Linked DNA regions of Sus scrofa. The protein of the gene in region 3 interacts with the protein of the main gene of each other region in a pairwise test. Links are inferred from orthologs where the notes say so. Each region holds a gene or a part of one and is shown on either strand. Other genes may lie near its edges.

Region 1 (4,178 bases), on a different chromosome or scaffold from region 3:
AGGGGGTTTTCATCTGTTTCAAGGTTCTATTAACACAACACAAATTTAAAGTTAAGCCACTTTAACTAGTGTTATAGCCAATCCAAATAAATTAAGCTCCCAGGTGATTATTTTTGACCTAAATTGACTTGCTTAGATGACTCACTGGTCAAAAAAAAGACCAAATAAGTTTAGTTTCCTAAGCCTCACGATATAGACTGAGGGAGCATGAAAGTTGAAGGAGAAATTCAGGGAGCCTATACTGGTATGTGTGGCAGTGGCCAGGGCTCTGCTAGGCTTAGTGGCTTGCCATTCAAAATACCAGAAAGCTTGATGGAAGCTATTGCCCACATGTGGCTGCAGCAGGAAGGCTTAGCTAAGCGGGGGTGGGGGGGGGGTGACAGCCTATCTCGTATCAAGAGGACTGGTAAATTAATGGGTAGACAGAAATAGCCTGGATTCCATTATCTCTTTTGATAACTAGAGTCAAAACATAATTGTGTGTGTGTGCACACGTACAAGTGTCCACGACAGAAGTGAAAAATGACATGGTATGTTGATCCAAGCTATAGTTAAAATAAGTGATTTGTTTTCATTTTCTTTGTGTTCTTTAAAGTATGAAGTGCCTTAGTGAGGGTGTATCAGCCTATGTTCACACATGTGCTTTAGAGAGGGCTGAAAGAGGATAAAAGTGACCCATGGTTTAGAAAGCCAAGACTGAGCACTTTTTCTAGTGTTGGTGATGGAGCTGTTGAGGTCCCGTCCAGGCTTTCATCTGGTCTTGTGATCTCTGGCCAGATTTGCGAGGGTAACTGGCCCGGTGAAGAGGATCTTTCAGCGGTCAGGAAAACACAGATTCCCTGAGCATCAGAGCAGCATGTTGATCTCTCCTTTCAATGCCTTGTCAGAAACCAAAAAATAGTGTTGAGGAAAGTAGCCATTGCCTATTCTGACCTCAATGCTGACCCCTTGGAGCCTTGGAGCTGTACAACTCAAACGCCCTAGAGGAAACAGCCCAGGCGGAGAGCAAACATAGCTAAGCTGTCTAAATGAAGTGCTTTCTCCGTCTCCTATAAAATCAGTTTTAGATTAAAAAGGAAAAGCAAAATAAAAGTTATGCACATGAAAGAAAGTTGTGCAATTAAAAGGTATCAGTGTTTTCAATCAAATGTGCTCTTTCCACCCCTTCCTTCCTATGTTTTATTATTTGTGTATTCTCAATACACACAGAGACAGTTATGATTACAATATGAAATTTGTCCTGGGCGCTGAAAGCCATTTGATTTCCTGGCAGATGCAAAAAAAAAAAAACCCTGAAGCTGGGGATTTAAAAAACAATTCTCCCGCTCATAGTAGTAGATTAAAATTTTCTGTTTCATTTTCTTGCAAAGTGAGTGGTCTCCTGACTGTAATGCTTGTTTTGTTTGCAGAATACGTCTCTTTTACCCATAGACATATATGCAATAGCTAAAATAGCAAACAATCACTTAGAACACAGTTTGCATCCTAAAGTCATTTATTTGTGGTTTGTGGGGGTTTTTTTTTAAAAAAAAGCTTTATTAAGATATAATTTATATACCATAAAGTTTACCCATTTAGAGCTTACAATTCATTGGTTTTTAGTATACTTAAAGAGCTGTGCGTGTGGCTCATCCTGCAGCACTGTTACAGAAAGCCTCTGCTATAATTTCTCCTAGGTGACTAAGCCCTAATATAATTATCTCTTTCATTTATTTAGACATTTTATAGGGCAGTAGTTAAGAGCATGAACTCTAGAACCAGCTAGCCTGGATTAAATCCCAGCTCTGCTGTGGGTCTCAAAAGAGTTACTGTTAATCCCTCTGAGCCTTTATTTTCTCATCTATAAAATGGGAACAATCATAGAACCTCTTTACTGGGAGGATTAAAAGGGTTAAAATATATGGTTGGCATCCTCAGAGTCAACCAACCATGGGTCATCTGACTGTACAAGGAGCTTAGAAGAGTGCCTGGCACATGGTAAGCATATATTGCTATCACTAGTATATTTTCTCTTTGAACTTAAGTACGTAGAATTGAATTAATCACAATCCTTAGTTCATGACACACAATCATCAGTGGTTCATCTATGGGCCTTTAAACTTTTCACTTAGTCAAGAACATAATGAATACCCATGAACCTATCATTCAATCCAACAAGTAGAAAGTTACCAATAATCTGCATCTACCTAAATGTTCCTCCCTTATCCACTGCCTACCCTCATAGATAGCAACTATCCTGAACCTGGTATTTAGCAATCCCTTGTTTTGTTTTAAAAACTTAAAAAAATTTTTAAGGAACTTTAAGGAATCCATATATGTGTATGCGTGCAAATGTGTGTTCACGCACATGCACATACATGCGCCTTAAATGTATGTTATTTTAGTTTTGCTCGTTTTGTAACTTCATACTAACTTGTAATCTGAGATTTGCATTTTTCACTCATTATGTTACTATGACTCTTTTTTATTATCAGAAGACTTTCAAGAAATGGATCATTTCCTTCTCTTTTGATGTTCTGAGATTGTTATGCTGCCATATGATCTAATACGGCTTTTCAAGTTCCAGCCATAAAATAACCATTCCAGTCACCCAGCGGGTGAAGATGGAACAACATGTCCTCCTCCTTTTAAGACACTTCCCAGAAGTGACTCACTAAAACTCCGCTTCTATCTCATTCACCAAAACATAGACCTGCAACCACACTTAGCAAGGAATGCTGGGGGGTATAATTCTGTATCTTACTTTAGCCCAACTAAAAATCAGGAGTCTTAAAAAGAAAAAAATTTATTGAAACTTCGTTCATTTACAATGTTGTGCCAATTTCTGCTGTACAGCAAAGTGACCCAGCTCTACATTCTTTTTCTTACATTATCTTCCATCATGGTCTCTTCCAGGAGATAGTTCCCTGTGCTATACAGTAGGACCTTATTTTTTAGCCATTCTAAATGTAATAGTTTGCATCCACTAATCCCAAACTCCCAGTCTATCTCACTCCCTCCCCCTTCCCCTTGGCAACCACAAGTCTGTTTTCTGCCTCTGTGAGTCTGTTTCTGTTCTGTAGATAGGTTCATTTGTGCCATATTTTAGATTCTACATGTAAGTGATATCATATGGTATTTGTTTTTCAGGGGTCTTATTTCTAAGGAAAAGAGGGAGAACAGGTCTTGGGGTCACCAACAGTCTCTTCCACAACTACCTACAGGGTGAATTTCAAGACACAATGTATATAAAGCTGATGGTACATACTTAGCAAGAGTCAATTAAAACAGTCATTTTATGATTTCCCTTACATTATCCAATTTAATCCTCATAGTAATCATATGCGTTAGGGCAAATATGATTATCTTAATTGCAGACTTGGAAACTGAGATTTAGAGAGGCTAATTACAGCTGTGCCAGTGGTGGTAATTTTTGTTTGTTTTGTTTTAAAGAAAGAGGCAGTAGAGTCAAAGGGAAAGGAGCAGGAGCCCAAATCTAGAGTCCTAGCTTCTCTTGACAAAATCTGCCTCCCATAAAATCCTAGAATTCTATGTTCTGTGACTTTCTGGATCTGGCACATAAATCCGCAGGGTGTGGGACAGAACCTGAGGCCAGTAACTACCACTGTGGGTCGCTTTCCACCATATCCCGTGTGAACCTGGTTGTTGGAAACGACATGCTCTTCAGCAGCAGCCTCTCCTTCCCACAGGTTGAAATCTGAACAAATAAATGAGATTACATAACTCACAACTAGATAATAAAAATAAAAGCCAGCCTTTACTGAGTAATGACATACCAGGTGCTCTGCTAAAACTTTCCTCCCATTGGCTTGCTTTAGCCTCGCAACAACCTGTGGAGATGGATAGGCTTATAATTCTCTCTTTTTTTTTTTATCAGTTAAGGAAACTGAGGTTTAGAGAGCCAATATAATTTACAGATATTTAAGAAGAATAATATATGTCCTATAGAATTATTTGTTTTTTTTCCCAGTCTGTGAAAAGCATTTGTTTTGAAGTCATCCTTACATATTATGGGTGACTCCCCAGTGTTCATTCTCCCCTTCTTTGCAGTACTTTGACAGGAAAATATTTTATAACAAATGATATAGACAATTCCTTAGGTAACTAATGTAGTGGGAAAATACATAGTAACTGTGTTAGTATCTGCCTGCTTTAAGAATGGTGCTTTACTATTTACA
Region 2 (4,150 bases), on a different chromosome or scaffold from region 3:
TGTGGCAGCTCTGGGTTTGACTCCTGGCCCAGCACAGTGGATTAAGGATATGGAATTGCTGCAGCTGTGGCCATAGGTGGTACAGGTCACAGCTGCAGCTCAGATTTGATCCCTGGCCTGGGAACTTCCACATGCTATGGGTGCGCCCCCCCAAAAGCTTATTACTAAAAGAAAGAAGTCAATCTGAAAGGGCTACATGCTGTTTGATTTCAACTACATGACAGTCTGGAAGAGGCAGAACCAGAGACCAAGCCAGGGGCTGGGGCAGGGAGAGAGATGCATGGGTGGAGCAGGCCATTTTAAAGGCAGAGCAACTATTTTGTATGAAACTGTATTGGTGGGTACTTAACATAGTCTTACCACACAGAATGACTCCTAATGGAAAATCGATATGGTTTCATCAGTTGTAGTAAATGTACCCCAGAAATGGAAAATGTTTTTTTATTTTTTTAGGGCCACATCCGTGGCATTTGGAGGTTCCCAGGCTAGGGGTTCAATTGGAGCTGCAGCTGCCAGCCTACACCACAGCCACAGAAACATGGGATCTGAGCCATGGCTGAGACCTACACCACAACTCACGGCAACGCCAGATCCTGCACCCACAGAGCGAGGCCAGGGATCGAACCCACAACCTCATGGTTCCTAGTCAGATTCGTTTCCTCTGAGCCATGACAGGAACTCCGAAAATGTTCATAAGGGAAACTGTGTGTGTGTGGAGGGGGTATATAAGAACTGTTTCCTTCTCAATTTTTCTGATAACCAAAAACTGCTCTAAAAATAAAGTTATTAATAAAAACACCTACTTAATAAAGAAAGTGGGTAGTATGCAATTAGCTCCGCCAGCGTGTGTGTGCAGTTTCACATCAAGCATTGAATCGGGCCAGAACGGTTGCATGGAAACTGCAAACATTTGGTTGAAAGGTGAGCAACATAATCACAGTTCTGTTCCTTGGGGAGGTTGGAAATTTTCCTTTCCCTGAACAGCTTGAATTTCTATAACGAAGGTAAAATTGACAAAACAATGAATGTGCTTCCACTTTTAAATATCTGCCTGGGGTTTACGGAAGAGTTCAACAGAAGGGGTGTATCTTTACACCGGCATTTTCGCTGATGAAACGGCGCCACCCGCCACCCCCACCAGCCCCCGAAAACCTCCAGAGGCCGAGCGTGCTCGCGCACCTCGCAGCCCCGCACCTGCTCCGACCGCCCCGCCGCGACCCCGACCGGAAGCCGGGGGGCGTGCCCAGAGGAGCCCCGCCCCGGCGTCCGCCCAATCAGCGCGCTGGGCTCATTAATAGTGACCACGCCGGCCCCGCCTCCGCCTCCCGCGGCGCCACCGCCCGCGCAGACCCAGAGCGCGGCCGCGGACGAAGATGGCGACCGCCATGTACTTGGAGCACTACCTGGACAGTAAGCGTCCCCCGCCCCACCCAGGCCCGCCACCCACGCCGGGGCGCCCCCGCCGCGCCTCCTTCGCGCGTCAGGCTCCGCACACGGACCCCGGGGCTCGTGGGGGCGGCGGGGCGGCCCGGCGGCAAAGGCAGCGGGGGCGCGCGCGGGGCAGGCGGGGCCACGGGGGAGGGGCGCGCAGGGGGCGCGGCACGGGGTCCCGCCATCACGGCCGCGCCAATTCCAGATGCGTCACGGCGGGGAGGGGCCGGCGCGGCCGGGGCGGGGCCAGCGCGGCCCCGCCCTACCCTCCCGACCCGACCACGCCCACTCACCGAAGGCTCCGCCCGCGACCAGGCACCGCCCACCGCCTCCTAGGCACCGCCCGCTTCGACGTATGCCCCGCCCTCTCCACCGGGCCTCGCTCCTTCCCAGCGGGGCCTTGCCTTACCTGGTTCCCTGCTCTTCCCCACCGAGGTGGCCCACCAAGGTGGTTGAGACCCAGTCCTCTTGGACTCTGGGCCGGGTTTGGGGGTCCCAGGGCCTGGCGAGCTTGGAGGGCCTGGATTCCTTGCCTACTTGTGCTGTGACCTGGGAATTGCTTTCGAGTCCCAGTTTGTGCATCTACTAGGCATACTGATGTGGAGGGTCCCCCAGGGCACCTGTCTTTGTGCAGGGGGTTTGGGGGCGCAGCTTCCAGGGCTGGGTAGGGTGTTCAGGGCAGTGGTCATCACCACTGAGCCATAGCCATCTCTGGAGGACTCCTGAGCAGGTGGTTGTTCACGCTTTTCACAGAGGGGGTGGTGTTGCCTGCAGAGGCTTAGTAGCTTGTCACAGTTGAGCACTGGAGAGTGGAGACCCTAGCTTTAAACACTGCTGCCTGGCTCTGGCTGGGAGTTGGCCTGGGTGGGGGCTGGGTCAGGTGGCTCTGGAGCACTGGGTGTTCAGAGTCACTCTGGGCTGGGAGCTCCACCCGAGGTTGCTGAGAGTAGGGCGTGACCCCCTGCTCTGGGGAAGATGGCGAGGATCCAGCCCTCCCAGGGGGTTGCTCAGTCCTGGCCGTTTATTCTGCTCACCTGGCCCCCCGTGAGCACAGGGTCCTGGGTGGGAGAACACAGTGGAGGGAGAGGTTTCCCCAGCAGTGTCATTAGGGGGCCCGCCCTAGGTGTCTGCTGGGTGGCACTGCGGCTTGCCCTTCTCTGGCCTGGAGCCTGCCTGGTGGGCCCCTGTGGAGGGACTGAGGGACTTGAGTTCTGTCCTGTGTGGGGCTCCTGTGTGAAGGCTTGGGACCTTGAGCGCCGGCTGTGTTCCAGGAAGGCAGACATGATTCTTCCTTTTCCTGAAACTCACTATTGAGTGGGGCAAATAGAAGTTTCCAGGCCATGAAGGAGCCCAGGAGATCATGACAGTGCAGGGGTGGCACTGTTCTGGCAGCCGCACTAGGATAGCAGGGGGTCCACTCGAGGGCGTGGTGGGCCTGGAGGCCAGGATGGCATCTGTGCTGCTCCCTGGGTGGGCTGGGAGTGGGGCTTGGAGCAGATGTAGCTCCTAAAGTGATCAGCTGCGGCGGGGCCGAGGCTGGACTGAGAGGGCTGCGTGCAGGTGTGAGAGCAGCGGGGCAGGGCCCTCCACCTATGCTGTCCGTTGCCGTCTGTTTAATTTTAAATAACCCTGAGTAAGAGGAGAACTTGAGTCCCTCTGCATACTTGCCCGTTTCAGGGGCTTGGTAGCTCCATGTGGCTCCATCCTCATAAAGTCCCACGTGCAGCACTGGCCGGCCCCCGATGCCCTGGAGTTCAGAGTCAAGTGGAGGGAGATGGGGGGGCCTCCGGGTTTGGGACATGTTCCCTGGGAAGAGGTGTCTGCCGGGGAGGGGTGACCTGGGCCTTGGAGTGGAAGAATCCCACGGCATCTTCCTGCCTCTGCTTGCACCTCGTTTCTGCTTTCACCTCTACCTTCTCGAGCTTCTGACAGCCTCTGGAGCGTGTCAGCCTCTTACCAGCATGTTCAGAGTTTGGCACAAGTCGCTCAAAAAGGATATCTTAATCCTGTCTTTGTGTTTCAGGTATCGAGAACCTTCCCTGTGAACTTCAGAGGAACTTCCAGCTGATGCGAGAGCTGGACCAGAGGACGGAAGGTGGGTTCGGGCCTCTCAGCACAGCCAGAGCTGGGCCCTGATACCCTGGGGACTGGAGCACCAGGATCCTGGGATGGCACCAGTCCTGCAGGGGACCTGGTGTGGGGCTGCTGTCCAGGCCCGTGCCCTGGGTGGTGTCTCAGGGAGACTGCTGATTCTCTTTTCTTTGCTTTTCTTTAAGGGCCACACCCACAGCATATGGAAGTTCCCAGACTAGGGGTTGAATTGGAGCTGCAGTTGCTGGCCTACACCCCAGCTCACCGCAAAGCCAGATCCCCGAGCAAGGCCAGGGATCAAACCCGCATCCTCATCGATAGATTGGATTCGTTTCTGCTGCGCCGCAGTGGGCACACCATGATTCTTTAAAATCAAACTTAGGGAGTTCCTCTCGTGGCTCAGTGGTTAGTGAACCTGACTAGCATCCATGAGGATGCAGTTTTGATTCCTGGCCTCCCTCAGTGGGTTAAGGATCGGGTGTTGCTGTGAGCTATGGTGGAGATCGCAGATGCGGCTCGGGTCTGGCATTGCTGTGGCTGTGGTGTAGGTCGGCGGCTACAGCTCCGATTAGACCCCTAGCCTGGGAACCTCCACATGCCGCGGGTGCAGCCTTAAAAAAGCAAAAAA
Region 3 (2,686 bases):
AGTGCAAGTGTTTTGCGAGGTGACCTCACACCCCACCTGAGGTCGGGGCTGGCACGCTGGAGGTGGCGACGTGTGTCCTGCGGCCTTGGGGACGAGGAGGAAAGGCAAGGTCCCGCTCGCCCACCGGCGGAGGATGGGGGGTCCTGGTCCACCAGCCAGGGACACAGTGACCCCAGCCCCAGCAGGAGGCGGCGTGTGTGCAGAACGGGGAGGATGGGCAATTGAAAATGAAAACTCAGCAGGACCGAACCCAAACCCAACTCCTGCGGCTCTCGTGTTCACCAAAGGATGGATTTCTGACCATGAGGGGAGGCAGAGGGAGAGGGAGAAAAAAAATCTTCAAAATCAAAAGTCAGAAGAGGAGAAACTCAACCTCATTTTCAAAGGGGTGAGCAGTTCGTCCAAGTAGACCAGTTCTCACTGGACACAGTGTTAGAGCAGGAACAAGACCGGATTGGCTTACACACGAGAGGGACGCAGACACGTGCTGTTCTGCCGTGACAGCGACTTCTGCTTGGTCACATTCTCACTCCTTCACTCTCGCTCATGGATGAACCGGAGGCTGATGCATCTGAAAGGTGGGGGTGAACCGGAACAGGCAAGGTACCGCTCGGGAAGGAGAGCACCATTTAAAAAAAAAAGAGAAAGCGCGGGTTTTCCTAAGGCTTCCATGGGATGCAGCTCTGGGCCCCCTGCTTGCACCAGATCTCTGTGTGGCTGGCGGGGTCGGGGGGCAATGGCGGGACATGGGGTGGAGGCTGTAAGACCTGGGCTGCAGGAAGCTGTGCTCCAGGGAAGCCTGTGGTTTCCGTTCCCAACTTTGCCCTAGTCTCTTCTGTCTCTGGACAGGATGCTGTTTGGCTTCGGAGCTTCAAGTGGGTTTCTTTTCTTTTCTTTTTTTTTTTTTTCCACCCTTTTATTTCAACGGTGATGATCCTTTCCCGAGAAGTATCTTTCAGTGTCTTAGGGAGGTCACAGCAACAAGGCAAAACAATAATTAAAACAGAAGCTAGTGCAGTTCTCACTGAGGAAGGGAGTGGGCCGAGGCGGCTGGCCCGGGATGCCCGCACCCAGGTCAGGGCTGGAGGACGAGGGGGGCTGGGTCTTCCTGCAGCGCTCACGCCGCAGCCAGGGGCTGGCTCAGGAGGGCATCTTCAGGATGGTGCAGAGGATGCAGGTGGAGAGGGTGGGAGGGTGGAGTGGGGAGGAGGGCAGGCGCCGTGGCCCGGCCCCCGTCACAGAGTCGACTCCAGGGATGAGTCCAGGATGTCGTCGTGATGGCTGTTGCTGTTGGAGTCGCTGTCGTAGCTCTGGGGGCTGGAATAGTTGGCTGCTTCCTGCAGCCTCATCAGCATGTTCATCTGGGGAGAGAGCAGAAAGCGTGAGCGGCTTTCAATCCAGCCAGTCCCCCTCCTCTGGCCTCTCAGAAGTTCATGCCACCTCCTCCAGACTCACCTGGGGACTGCCGCCCACAGTGAAGGCAGATAAGAGTATGGACAAGAGCATGACTCTGGGCCAGGCTTCCAGGGTTCAAATCTGGGCTCCACCACTTCCTAGATGCAGGACCTTGGGCAAGTTACTTAATCTCTACACCTCAGTTTCTTCACTGTTTGCACGTGAATAACTGTACCTCTCCTATGCAGTTACGGTGTGGATTAAGGTGATATATGTAGAGCACTGAAAACCGAATAGAAGGTCCCCTATAAAGACGATATTTATTTTTTACTTGGGAGGGGCACCTTACCCACACAGAGTCCTCAGGCTGGGTGGGATGCCAGCACCACTGACCTCAAAGCACATGGTTCCCCCTTCAAGGAGCATCAAGCCCATCTGTACCCCAGCTCTGGCCAGAGGGCAGCCTGGAGTCACCTGTGCTCCAGGCTCCTGTCAAGGCCTCGATGGGGAGGTCAGGGTAGGGCAGCACCAGGTACAAGCTGAGCCTCAGGGCCCAGAGAGGCCTGGATTCCAATACAGAAACATTTGGGCGATCATTTAATATATCTGAGCCACCATAACTTCCTCTCCAGAATGCAGAGAATAGCAGCAGGTATCCCATAGGGTGAAGTAGGGAACAAAACGACACGATGTGTATTAAACCCTTAGAACAGGGCCCACACATAGTAACTGCTCAATAAGTGTGATAAATCCGCTATCATCATCACCATCATATGTCTCTCTCTTTTTTTTTCTTGTTACAGTTGCACCTGTAGCAGATGGAGGTTCCCAGGCTAGGGGTCAAATCGGAGCTGCAGCTGCTGGCCAACACCACAGCCACAGCAATGCAGGATTCGAGTTGCATCTGTGACCTACACCACAGCTCATGACATCATGGATTCTTAACCCACTGAGCGAGGGATCGAACCCACATCCTCATGGATACGTGTCAGGTTCTTAACCCACTGAACCACAGTGGGAACTCCACCATCATCTGTCTTAAACAAGAGTTTAAGGACTGTGTCCTCGTATATCCCCTGGTCTATAGTCTCCTGGTCATTTGCGTGGGCGTGGAGACAAGGAACTAAACACTACTTTGACTTTATTTATAACCATAAATGACGTGTGTATGTATTTGATAATTAGGAAGATAGGGTCTCTCTGAGAGACCTGGTACAGCTGGGTGTGAAATCCAGCTGCACTCTGGCCAGCTGCCTCCCAGGATGCCCAGCAGAGCGTGCTTGGTGAGCCA

What was found.
Region 1: the proteins of NAV2 (region 3) and RBM15 interact in binary tests that used the Homo sapiens proteins (3 or more experiments, as listed by UniProt). The two-hybrid records come from large-scale screens. The link is inferred for Sus scrofa from reciprocal best matches to the Homo sapiens genes NAV2 and RBM15.
Region 2: the proteins of NAV2 (region 3) and ING5 interact in binary tests that used the Homo sapiens proteins (3 or more experiments, as listed by UniProt). The two-hybrid records come from large-scale screens. The link is inferred for Sus scrofa from reciprocal best matches to the Homo sapiens genes NAV2 and ING5.

What each region holds. Positions count from the first base shown.
Region 1 is NC_010446.5:109,788,706-109,792,883, forward strand, and holds the start of RBM15 (putative RNA-binding protein 15), read right to left. Parts: upstream 2,851-4,178; 5' UTR 1-2,850. UniProt on the Homo sapiens protein: RNA-binding protein that acts as a key regulator of N6-methyladenosine (m6A) methylation of RNAs, thereby regulating different processes, such as hematopoietic cell homeostasis, alternative splicing of mRNAs and X chromosome inactivation mediated by Xist RNA.
Region 2 is NC_010457.5:140,263,408-140,267,557, forward strand, and holds the start of ING5 (inhibitor of growth protein 5), read left to right. Parts: upstream 1-1,300; 5' UTR 1,301-1,373; coding exon 1,374-1,410; intron 1,411-3,454; coding exon 3,455-3,526; intron 3,527-4,150. UniProt on the Homo sapiens protein: Component of the HBO1 complex, which specifically mediates acetylation of histone H3 at 'Lys-14' (H3K14ac) and, to a lower extent, acetylation of histone H4. Component of the MOZ/MORF complex which has a histone H3 acetyltransferase activity.
Region 3 is NC_010444.4:39,266,019-39,268,704, forward strand, and holds part of NAV2 (neuron navigator 2), read right to left. Parts: intron 1,362-2,686; coding exon 1,236-1,361; 3' UTR 1-1,235. UniProt on the Homo sapiens protein: Possesses 3' to 5' helicase activity and exonuclease activity. Involved in neuronal development, specifically in the development of different sensory organs.